3 linked regions of the Sus scrofa genome follow. The protein of the gene in region 2 interacts with the protein of the main gene of each other region in a biochemical or structural test. Links are inferred from orthologs where the notes say so. Each region holds a gene or a part of one and is shown on either strand. Other genes may lie near its edges. The genes, in order: CREBZF, ATF4 and CREBBP.

Region 1 (4,171 bases), on a different chromosome or scaffold from region 2:
TTTAAAATAAAAGCAGAAGCCCTGACATTACCTCTTTTTCCTCATTTCTTATACTACCTTTTAAAATAAAGCAGGAAATGTGGCCAGCAGCTGGTCCCGTCTCTTCTGCCCCAACAGCTGTATCCACTTTAGCACAAAGAAAAACAAGGATGCTAAATACGTATATACTTTATCAAACAGTGATGTTTCACAAAGAATTTCTTAATGCCTCTTACACTGAAGGACATGGTGACTCAATCCATACAACTGGACAATAGAGTACTTCAAGGGAAGACTATGTCCCAACTTTGGGAAAAGTGTCAATTGTGTCATTAGGTAGCCAGAACCACTCAATTTCAAAACTTATTTTTAAATAGGTCAAAGACTTAAAATATGGAAAATAAGATTCTTTGTGAAACCTCACTTTACACGTTTTCATTCACATTTCATAACCGTCAATAGCTAATCATACATAAATTTAACCTAAAATTTTAGTACAACAAAAATAAAGGTGTTCAACAATTTATTCATACTCAGTGATAGGATAATCACTGTGCTGGTCCTCAAAGAGACATTCCATTGACCATGCTTATTCCCCCTTCAATTAACCAACACAGGAGTCTGATGTGCACATTAATTTCCAATTTCTCTAATGGTGATATAAAAACCTATAATCTGAATAGACTGTATGTCTAGACCTAAGAAAACTAAAAGGCATTCTTGATTATTCAAGAGATTTCTGTTATCTCCGGCAAAATAACTATCACATTTGTGCATGCCCCAAGTACTTATTGTCAACCTCTGAAAAGTTGCTCTAAAATTGGAATTCCAATTTGCACCTTGTACAACTCGGAACTTCCATTCAACTTCACCTGTGTCACTGTCTCCAAACTGTATCTCTATTAGCAGCTTTCAGTGTACAGTTGGAACCGATGTCATCCAAGGCCATGTCCACACTGGGGACAGAAGAGCTAGGTACACGCAAGTCTGAACAAGGGGACACATTAACAGCTATTTCAACCAGAAGAAGCATCTTGAATACATTACTGACCAGCACAAGTCTGTTTCCAGGGTGGACAGGGCCCAAATTAGATTCCCCTCCCACCTTCCAAAAAAGAAAAAAAAAAAAAATCACACACACACACACGAATTGAGATGTTGCCCATTAAAGTAGACTAAGCAGCAGAGCATGAGCGTTACGTGAAGAGATGGATCCTTACCAGGTTGTGAGGCGGGAACGACTGTTCTGTAACCCCTACAACGGAGCCTGGCAGGAAGGAAATCACCTAAAAAAGAAACTGTCAGAGAGATTTAATAGTCACATGTTATCATTAGGAGTTGGTTACAGTGTCACATTCATGCTTTTAGCTAAACACTTAAAGATTCAATATTACTTTTTTTTTTTTTTCCTCCTCTGAAATGTGTCCAGTGAAGATGTCCCACTAAGGTGTTTTACATGGTGTAAGGGAGTTGAAAGGGGTAAACGCGGATAAAGAGCAGATTACTTGACCCTACATTTTAAGAGAAGACGACGCCTTCCGGGCGCACGCTGAGCAGAACTCCACCGACACCTTATCCTTGTCCACATGAAGACACACTCCTCCGGCTGAGTCGTCCTCTTCCAGCAGGTCCTGCTGCTGCTTTCCCACCGGCAGCGCGTAGTCATGGTCCCCGGCGGGCGAGTCTCTGAAGAGCGAGGTGGTCAGCCGCAGTCCCACGCCGCTCAGCCGGCTCAGCAAGCGAGCCAGTCCGGTCTCGTTGGCTAAGACGGCCCGTAGGTAGCGACTCTCCTCCTGCAGTGCTTGGACGCGCTTGCCCAGCTCCCGATTCTCGGCCCGCAGCTCCTGGTTCTCGGCTGCCAGACCCCGGACTCGGCTCTCCAGCCCCATCACGTACTCCTTCTTCTTCAGCCGATTCAGACGAGCGGCCGCCGCCGCCGCCTTCCGGGGACTCTTTGTCGCCGCCTGGTTGTTGTCGTTGCCGCCGCTGCTGCCGCCGCCGCCTCCGGGGGACTTTCTCCGCCTCTTTTCGCCGCCGCCAGTGTCACTGCCGCTGCTGCAGCCGCCGATGCCGTTTAGCAGCCTCTGCAGCAGGTCAGAAAAGCGCTGCATCTCAGCGGCCGCGGCCTCGTCGTCGTCGTCCCCTCGCCACAGGCCACCGCTCTCCGAGCCTCCGCCGGACGAGGAGAGAGGCCCGGGCGAGCTGAGCCCGGGCTCCAGGTGCCAGTCTGGCTGCCGGGGGTCCAGCAGATCCGCCAGTTCCAGCCCGGACAGAAAGTCCATGTCCTCCGTTTCGTCCCCGGGGACGCTGGCGACCGCCTCCTCCTCCATCTCCTCGGGCGAGGGCGCGCGCACGGCCACGCCGCCGCGGCCCCCCCTCCCGGCCTCCGACTCGCCCTCGTTTCCGCGAGGCTGTTTGCGGCCAGGAGATCCGGCCGCCGCCGTCCCCTCGTCCTCCGCCGCCGCCCGGCTCAGGTCCGGGGGCAGCGAGAAGGTCGCGGCCGGCGCCGGGCTCTCGCTGCGGGTTGGGGAGTCGCTGCCCGAGGCCGCCAGCAGTTTGGTCAGGCTATGCCTCATGGGGCCCGGCAGCGGGCCCACGTAGGCCCCGGCCCCTCAGACCGGGCCTCGCGGGTCCCAAGGACCCAGAGCAGGTTGCCGGGGTGCAGGCCAGAACGAAGTGAAGGGGAAGGTCGGAGTCACCTCCCGCCCCCACTTGGCTGGTCGACCCCCCGCGCTGCGGCGGGGGGGGAGGGACGGGAGATCGGAGCGGCGAGGCCCAACGATGACTCGACCGCGCCACCCAGACAACGGCCTGGCCGGAAGTCGGTCGATCTCGGCCCGGCCCCTCCCACCACATTTCCCGCTCCACCAGGGCCTGGTATCGCGAGAGTTCTGTGAGGTCGAGAGTAGGAGTAACTCCAGATTTCCAGTGATGTCATAGTAACAGAGGCAAAAATAACAACAAACCTAGGATTTATCTAAGGAGTGGCCACTCCTCTGGGCCCTCAAGTCTCAGTCCCTGTATTCTAGCTTCCATCTGCAGTAAAACCACTGTCATTCGAAATGATCTTTTAGATACACCAAATTTATGAATTTAAAATTATCCTGATGATCAGATTCTTCTTGAAAATTATTCTTTTCTCCTTTCGTTATAACATGTGATTTTTTTCAAACACAGAATACTGGAAGAAAAGAGAGGTAAATAAGTCTTTCATATATAATTTAATTTTTCCAAGTTTTTATTTTAAAAATTTCCAAATATACAATATGTGAATATGTATGTAAAAGAATATTGCAGTATATACTCTAATTGAACACTACTACCCAATACTCAGACTTAACAGTTCAACAATTGTCCTTTTGTCAAATGTGCTTTATCTGTATGTAAAGGTTGGTAAAAACAATTTTTCTTTTTTGCAGAATCATCCCAAAGTTGCAGATAAGACATACTCCCAGAATTTCATACTTTCTCAGAATTTTTCATCTATATTTGAACATTAATTCTTCCAGATAACTTTATAACATTTTCCAAGTTCAAAAATAAGCTGGAATTTTCGTGGAAGTTGCATTAAATTTATTAATTTATTTTTCCCAGTTACTTTATGCATTTTTTGCTACTAGACTAGATTATTTCTTCTTTTATATTTTCTAAATGGTTATCATTGCTACATAGGAAAGCTGTTGATTTTTTTTGTTAAATTCTTAACTGATTCACCCACTGAACTTCCTTGATAGTTTTTATTTTTAGCTTATTCATTCAAATTTCCCTGGTAGACAATCATATCACCTTATTGTACATAATGACAATTTTGCCATCTTCTTTGCAATACTCACTTCATTGTACTGACTAATAATGAAATAGCACTTCCAAATTGATGTTAAATAATGCTTTTAATAACTAACTTCTGTGTCTTATTCCTAACTTGAACAGGAACACCTGTAGTGTCTAGCTGTTGATTTGAGATGGATGTTCTTACCAGGTTATACTCAGTTGTAGGAAATAGAAACCAATTCAAGTATTTTAAGCAGAAAAAGATGTAATGGAGAGAAGGTGCTTACAAAGTAACTGGAAGAACTAGAGGAGGGGCATTAGGCTGGGTGATCAAGAATGCCTCTCAGTATAGGGTGGCCAAACAGGCCTGACAGGGAGCAGCTATTTCTGCCCCAGTTGGGAACGTTGTCAATAGAAAGCT
Region 2 (4,234 bases):
AACATTTATCTGAAGAAATCAGTCATCAGCAGTACGTTCACTACAAAATAATTTATTGCAACACACAGCTAAAGCCCTAGCCTATGTACAAGCACATGCACACCCCTGCCCGGCAGCTAGGGGGCGCGTTTCTTCCCCGTGCCTTGCGGACCTCTTCTATCAGATCTTTGAGATACTGAATCTCCTTGGCCAAGGAATCTGCCTTCTCTTTCAGAGCTTCGTTCTTCTTTTCCAGCTCTTTACATTCGCCAGTGAGGGCCTCCTGCTCTGCCCTCTTCTTCTGGCGGTACCGAGTGGCTGCTGTCTTGTTCTGCTCCATCTTCTTCAGCTTCTTATCTAGTTTCTCACCCTTTACTTTTGCTGCTACCACCTTCTCTCCAGGAGGATCATAGGGTTTGGGCCGGACAGAACCACAAGGGGCCCCGGGAGAGAGCAAGCTCCTACTTGGAGAGGCCCTGGAGGTGGAGGGACTGTGCTGGGGAGAGCCCAGATAGGAGTCAGGGCTCATACAGATGCCACTGTCATTATCTGAGGGGGCATCCTCTTCCTTTATGCATTGAGGAATCAAGGTAATGTAAGTAGTGGAGTCTGGCTTCCTATCTCCTTCCGAGATTTCCACTTCACCCTGTATCTCTAAACTAAAGGAATTATCTGGAGTGGAAGACAGGGCCCCTGGGGAAAGGGGAAGAGTTTGCAAGAACGTAAAGGGGGCAACCTGGTCAGTTGTTGGTAAACTTTCTGGGAGATGGCCAATTGGGTTCACTATCTGCGGGGGCTCCTGGAGTGGGGGGTCAAAGAGATCACATGTGTCATCCAACGTGGCCAAAAGCTCATCTGGCATGGTTTCCAGGTCATCTATACCCAACAGGGCATCGAAGTCGAACTCCTTCAGATCCATTTTCTCCACCATCCAGTCTGTCCCGGAGAAAGCATCCTCTGCAAGAGATTTAAGAGGGACGGAACCCAGAGTCAGATGCACGCGGCAGCAAGGCTTTATCACCAGACCCCACCGGCAGGGAAAAGCCCACTCACCCTTGCTGTTGTCTGAGGCACTGACCAACCCATCCACAGCCAGCCATTCGGAGGAGCCCGCCTTAGCTTTGTCGCCGGAGAACCCATGAGGTTTGAAGTGCTTGGCCACCTCCAGATATTCGTCTAAGAGCCCTAAGCTCTCTTCAGCCCCCAAACCCGACGGGTCGAAGGGGGACATCAAGTCCCCCACCAACACCTCGCTGCTCAGGAAGCTCATCTCGGCCATGTTGCGGAGTTTTGATGGAATCGAGGAATGTGCTTAATTCGAAGGTGTCTTTGTCGGTTACAGCAACGCTGCTGCTGAATGCCGTGAGAAGCCTTAACAGGAACCAGAAACCAAGCCCCATTAGAGAACAGCTGGTCTGAGCCTTTCGCCTCTCCACCCCCGGGGCAGGACGGCCAAATCCCGACCCCGTGTGGTTGTTGAGACTTGGGGGCCGCTGGCCCCGGCTGCCAACCTTCCCCGCGTCCGCCTGGCGGCGCAAGATGGACGCCCGGCCGTTCCCCGACCCGCCACCAGAGGAAGGCGCCCGGTCCTCCCGGCCGAGTCCGGCCCCGCCCACGCCCGCCCGTGACTCACGCCGCGGCCGCCGCCCTGCCCCGCCGCCATCTTGGCTGCTGCCACGTTTCGTGGAGCCCCAGGGGGAGCCCCGGCCCCCCGGCCGGGGCCGGAGGTACCGAGGACTTCGCCCCACGCCCGAACAGCGCAGCGGCCTCTCGACCCAGGGGCGCTGGCGCTTCGGCGTCACCCCATCAGCGGCCACGCGTCCCGGGCGCTCGTAAAACCGCTTCCCCCTCCGCGACGCCGCCGGACCGCGCCCCAGCATCAGACAAGAACCCTTCACCGACCCGGGGGGACACGGCCCAGAGCGTCGGGCCCCGGTACTTACGCCATGGCTTAAGCCGCTGGGGGGTGCCGCTGCAGAGCCTGGTGCTGCTGCCGCCGCTGCAAAGGCCAATGCTGCCGCAGGCACTGCTGCCTCTAATACGCCATGGCGGCCGCGGACCCTGCGGGAGCGGAGGAAGAAAAGCGCCCACTCGCAGAAAAGGACTACATCTACAGCGGAGAGGAAAAGAAATGGCGGCGGTTCGCCGAGCGCGGGTCCTTTATAGACTCTGCCTCTGTGGGACGCATCACAGAGAATATTCTTCCGCCTAGGTCACGTGACCAGCGCCTCCCACCCACGCGCTTTCATTTAACCGACGCCCCTACCATTTCCAGTCTCTGACTTTTATGTCGAGGGCGAAACTGTGAGGACCAAATGAGTTACTTTTATTTACAGCCTCAAAAAAGGGCGCACTACTTTACAAGGCTTTTGAGATCTAAGGATCACCACCGTCCGCTGCCGGGATGCGCGGAAGGATCTTGCACAGCTACTTCCGGTGCTAGCCCGAGAGGCGGAGACGAGTCTTTCACCCCAAGAAGGGCTTTTATTGTGAAGTACGAGGTCTCCTGGTTATCGCGCGAGCTACTGGCGGAGAGCGCGCGTCGAAATGATTGGTTAGGCATGGTGAGTCATATATACATCGAGTTTCTATTGGCTCAGGCTCCGAGGCGGGCGGGTTGTTCAGCGAGGGAGCCCCTGATCTGCGCGGGAAGGTGGGTGAGGTTCCCGCCGCCGGGCCCCGGCGTCCTGCTCGCCGTAGCGCCGCTCTGCAAAGGCTCCCTCAGCCCCGCCCACCCAGCTGGCCTTGATTGCCCCGGGCAGCCCTGGCCCAGATCCAAATAGTGGCGTTAGGTCCGAATCCTCGTGGTCCTTTCCTGCCGCCCTTGGAGAAGCTCCGAACTAGGGACCGGGTTTAGGCCCGAATGTGAAACTAGTCAAGAGTAAATGTTATTTCGTCTGTTTTCACTTGCACACACTTGCAGAATACTGAGGACGTGTGAACCCTTCAGTAACTGGAAGGGGAGACTGATGACCTCAGCTGAGATCCACCTACCATCAAAGGCCTGCTCTGCGTCCTGACTCAACTCTGTAGAGGCGAGTCGAGTGGAGGAAATCCATAATCCTGTGGTCTAAACAATTGTATTTTTACATATCCATTCTGCTAAAATACAAGTTTCCTTTTATGTTAAAGAATGAAACCTATGACAGGGGAACTTCTTTCAGTTTATGTAGTTTCACTTCCCCTAAAAATGAGGTATTTTATTTAGCTGCTCTTTCTCACTCTAGGGTAGTTTCAATTATTTACCAACTCTGTAACTCCGCGGCATAACCACTTCCCAGCAAGTCCTACTGCCTGGGTGCTTGATCAGACCTGCCCACTTAGGGGAATTTGTGTGTTTGGAGGCCACAGTCCAGGTTAGGGCCAGTAACTTGCCCTCTCTACTGGGGAACTGTCAAGAGCTAGGAGAAAGCTCTTTCACCATCTTCCAGTCCTCCAATCAGGCCCTGTAGGGAAACCTTGAGTTTCCACTCCCCTTCATTTCAGTGGGCCCTACAAATATTATTTCTATGAGGACAGTGAGGTCAAAAATTGGTCAGGCACTTCCTACATAACAACTAACCATTCATTGATTTGAGTCAGTCTAGCCCAACCATTTCTTTACAGTGGTAAGCTGATGACTAAAGGCATGACATGTCTTGCCTGGTGTGGGCAGTATGGGGTAGGAGTTATGACAGATTTAAGGGCCAATTCCAAAAAATCTTGGCTTTCCCATTTATTAGTGGAGACATTCTGGTTAAGTGACTTACCCCCACTGAGTCTTCGTTTCCTGATCTGTAAAACGAGGCTAATGATGGGTATCCTCATCCTTAGAATGAAGTTAAGATAATATATTCACAGCACTGAGCCGTGCGCCTGGTACCTGGTAAGTGCTGGATAAATGGTTGCCATTACTCCTGTGACTAGAACGCAGGTCTTCTAACCCACCTCCCATCCCCATCATATCCTGCTCCCTCAGAGGACTGTTATTTACTGAGATGAAATCAACAACTATAAACAGCTGGTCTAGGAAAGCATACTGGATACTAGGTATGGTTTTTCTTTCCCCTTGGGGAATCTCAATTCTCTGGAAACATGTACAAGGCATCTGGTCTTTTGGTGCAAAGACAGTAAGAATCCCGAGCCACTACCCCCGAGCCACTACCCAAGTCTTCCAAAGGTGTCATTAAGGAGCCACGGGGCATGTCCTCCTCTCTGCTGTATGGGAGACTTGTCAGTGCCTCTTGATGGATGTCCATGCAGATGCTTAAGAAGT
Region 3 (3,629 bases), on a different chromosome or scaffold from region 2:
AAACTATTTTAACCTTAAAAGTGACTCTTAAAAATGACCAGTTTGAAAACAACTCATTGTTGCTTTTTGGAAAACAGTTGCCCTCATGCATCACTTACTCTTGCTAACTGGGCGACTGGGTTGGAGTCCCGGAACCTGGGTACCAGTCTGACCCCACCTCTGCTGATGGCCTGATCGGGACTAGACTGTGCACCTCGCTTTGTCTCAACTTCCTCTTCCTTCACGGTGGATATTGTAGACAAATCGACCTTTTATGTTCTTTGCCTGCACTTAATCTCTATGATTTTATTTTCTGATATGCAAACAAAACCCAAAATATGACAGAAATATGTAAGAGGTCAGTTTACTTGTTTCAATCATGATATTAATGAAGCCAGAATCAAAATGTGAAGCTACAAATGGGTCATTTCTAATTTCTTTTTCCACAGTCATAGAGTACTCATGAGACCAGCTAGCCTCCATAACAATGCCTCGTTTTAGCTGTAAAGTGTCGTGGGAAGGGATCTGCCTGTGAGGTTAACAATTCAATCGCCATTTTTCTGGAACTCCCAGAATTCCTGCCATGGGGTTTATTATTAAAACTCATAAGAATCACTTACTTAAAAAAACAAAGAGTTCCTGTCATGGCGCATCGGAAACGAATCCGACTAGGAACCATGAGGTTGTGGGTTCGATCCCTGGCCTCGCTCAGTGGGTTCAGGATCCGGTGTTGCCGTGAGCTGTGGTGTAGGCCGGCAGCTATAGCGCCGATTAGACCCTTAGCCTGGGAACTTCCATATGCTACGGGTGTGGCCTTAAAAAGACAAAAGACGAAAAAAGAATCACTTATTTATATGTGACTTATTATTTATGTTATCGGGACTTTGATGTGTATATGAGAATTTAGGAGTGTGTTGATTTCTTTTCTTTTTCTCTTTAAAGGAAATAACCCAATGAACATTCCAGCAGGCGGAATAACAACAGATCAGCAGCCACCAAGCTTGATTTCAGAATCAGCTCTTCCAACTTCCCTTGGGGCCACCAAGTAAGACATTTGTTTCAGTTGCCTCCTATCTGAGCGACAGTCAGACATGCAAGTGTGTGAACTCTTGAGTCTTTCTAAATGTGGGGCAGGGGCTATAGTTGGGGCCAGGGAGGGGCCGTCTCCCGTCTCCCTCTGTTCCCTGCTTCCCCCACCCCCCGTCCCCCCGTCCTCCCGTCCTTTCCGTCTTGCCTGTAGAAGAGGTAGTGACGTTGAAAGCCACATGTGGTTGAAGGGCCTGGTCGGCTGAGAGCCCTTCTTCCCTCAGCCCCCTGATGAGCGACGGCGCCACCTCTGGGAACATCGGACCCCTCAGCACTCTACCCTCCGCAGCACCTCCTTCCAGCACTGGCGTTCGGAAAGGCTGGCACGAACACGTCACTCAGGACCTGCGCAGCCATCTAGTACACAAACTGTACGTGGCCACCTCCCGCGTCGTTCACGTGGGATGGAGACATTCTGAGGCCGAGGTGATGGGGCAGTTGAGCGGTTGCGTTGATGTCTGCTTCGGTTCCTTCGTGGTCTCCTGGGCCCCTGGTGATCGTACCCTGGCAGCCAAAGGGAACCACGTGCCTGTTGAGGGGCCGGAGGATCCCACAGACCCTGGGTGGTGTCAGAGCGTCTGCAGCTCTGCCCCGCAGAGGGCCAGACCTGTTTTCTATGCCCCGGCTGCACCAGGGAGCTGGAATTAGCTCAGAAGCATTGCTTTATTTTGTGGCTCAAGATCACAGTTGAGGAGACCCCAGAGAACTGGAGGAATTTGGGCTTCGTCAGTACAAATGGTTTGATAATGCTGTCATGCATGTAACATACAAGAAATTAACAGCTAACTTTCTCCAGCTAGTTAAGTTAAATTGAAGGGGAGATTAATCGACTGGCATTGGAGGGGTTTTTTTCCTTCATTAATTTCATCAAAAAATTTTGGGTTAGAAAAAGGGGGGGGACCACCATATGCCACAGGTGTGGCCCTTAAAGACAGAAAAAAAAATTGCTAATAAATCGTTTAAATATTAGGAATTCAAAATCTTTTTTGGTTTTTTGTCACTGCTCCCGGGGTATATGGAGGTTCCCAGGCTAGGGGTCTAATCAGAGCTGTAGCCACCGGCCTACACCAAAGCCACAGCAACACAGGATCTGGCCTATATCACAGCTCACGGCAACGCCAGATCCTTAACCCACTGAGCGAGGCCAGGGCTCAAACCTGCAACCTCAAGGTTCCTAGTTGGATTCACTTCCGCTGCGCCACAACGGGAACCCCGAAATCATGTTATTCTTGAGATGATGAAGTACTTACTGTTAATAGTAAGATACTGGTGTGTTTGACGTGTAGAGAAGTTAACAGGTCAGGATTCTCTCCAGAGTGACCTCACTGATGTCTTCATATACCGGGCAAGAGGAATTTGGGGATGTCGCTTGGCAGTGTACTGCCACAGAGGCGGTTGGTTGGTTCTCTTTCCATGCCGCTCAGAATGGTAGAAACTGACCCCATTGTCCTTTCAGCGTCCAAGCCATCTTCCCGACCCCTGACCCCGCAGCCCTGAAGGATCGCCGCATGGAGAACCTGGTGGCCTATGCGAAGAAGGTGGAAGGGGACATGTACGAGTCTGCCAACAGCAGGGTAGGTTGCCTTTGGGTCCCGGCACCTGTGGGAGCCGCGGCTGCACCTGTCCAGAAACAGGGACGTCTGTTCGTCTGGGAGACGCGTCACTTGAGGACACTGACCGGGGAGTCTTCTCAGTTAAGACATGAGGTCCCTCCCTGCACAGCTCTTGTCTTGTAACTACCGACTACTGATGTCTCCCCTGCAATAGATAAAACTGCTTTTTCTTTTTTCTTTTCTGTCCTTGGTTGGTTGGTTGGTTTGGCTCCACCCATGGCACAGGGAATTCCCAGGGCAGGGATCAGATCTGAGCCACAGTTGCGACCTAAGCCGCAGCCGTGGCAACACTGGATCCTTTGACCCACTGTGCCAGTTCTGGCGCTGCAGAGACGCCACCCTCCTGGTATGCCATGGCAGGAACTCTGATGAAGTCGTTTTTATCTGTGCATTTACTTGGTGGCGGCCTTGGTTACAGTGCTTGTCCTGTGTCATTGCCGGCGCGAATCCAAGAAGAGGTTCAGCTGTGGACTCACCTGTGATGAGTACCTCGTCCCTGCTGCCTCATACATGCTGTCCCATCCCTGGGTGCTCATGCTCACCTGCGCCAGTGTGCTCAATTGAAACGATCGTCAGTTGGTCAGAACACACGCACGCGCGCAGAGCTTCTTTGTAACGAGTAACTAGTGTGGAGGTTTGCTTTTCAGGATGAGTACTATCACTTATTAGCAGAGAAAATCTACAAGATACAAAAGGAACTAGAAGAAAAACGGAGGTCACGTTTACACAAACAAGGCATCTTGGGGAACCAGCCCGCCTTACCAGCCCCTGGGACGCAGCCCCCTGGCATACCACAGGCCCAGCCCGTGAGACCGCCAAGTAAGGACTGCCTTTCTGGCTCTCCGTCTGCCTCCCCGCTTCTCCTTCTGCATCTGGGATGATTTCTGAGCATGTGGAATCATGTTCCCAGGAAGCCTGTGCTTAGAAAATTGTGGGGGTGGCCGTGGCATG

Evidence for each region.
Region 1: the proteins of ATF4 (region 2) and CREBZF form a complex in vitro, tested with the Homo sapiens proteins (2 studies listed by IntAct, with this or other methods). The link is inferred for Sus scrofa from reciprocal best matches to the Homo sapiens genes ATF4 and CREBZF.
Region 3: the proteins of ATF4 (region 2) and CREBBP form a complex in vitro, tested with the Homo sapiens proteins (2 studies listed by BioGRID). The link is inferred for Sus scrofa from reciprocal best matches to the Homo sapiens genes ATF4 and CREBBP.

Annotation. Positions count from the first base shown.
Region 1 is NC_010451.4:19,592,247-19,596,417, forward strand, and holds the start of CREBZF (CREB/ATF bZIP transcription factor), read right to left. Parts: upstream 2,869-4,171; 5' UTR 2,556-2,868; coding exon 1,495-2,555; coding exon of another isoform or gene 1,491-1,494; exon of another isoform or gene 1,278-1,490; coding exon 1,262-1,277; 3' UTR 1,200-1,261; intron 127-1,199; 3' UTR 58-126; exon of another isoform or gene 1-57.
Region 2 is NC_010447.5:8,742,932-8,747,165, forward strand, and holds ATF4 (cyclic AMP-dependent transcription factor ATF-4), read right to left. Parts: upstream 2,822-4,234; 5' UTR 1,923-2,821; intron 1,351-1,922; 5' UTR 1,259-1,350; coding exon 1,033-1,258; intron 937-1,032; coding exon 77-936; 3' UTR 33-76; downstream 1-32. UniProt on the Homo sapiens protein: Transcription factor that binds the cAMP response element (CRE) (consensus: 5'-GTGACGT[AC][AG]-3') and displays two biological functions, as regulator of metabolic and redox processes under normal cellular conditions, and as master transcription factor during integrated stress response (ISR).
Region 3 is NC_010445.4:38,482,259-38,485,887, forward strand, and holds part of CREBBP (CREB-binding protein), read left to right. Parts: intron 1-921; coding exon 922-1,024; intron 1,025-1,289; coding exon 1,290-1,436; intron 1,437-2,521; coding exon 2,522-2,639; intron 2,640-3,325; coding exon 3,326-3,497; intron 3,498-3,629. UniProt on the Homo sapiens protein: Acetylates histones, giving a specific tag for transcriptional activation. Mediates acetylation of histone H3 at 'Lys-18' and 'Lys-27' (H3K18ac and H3K27ac, respectively).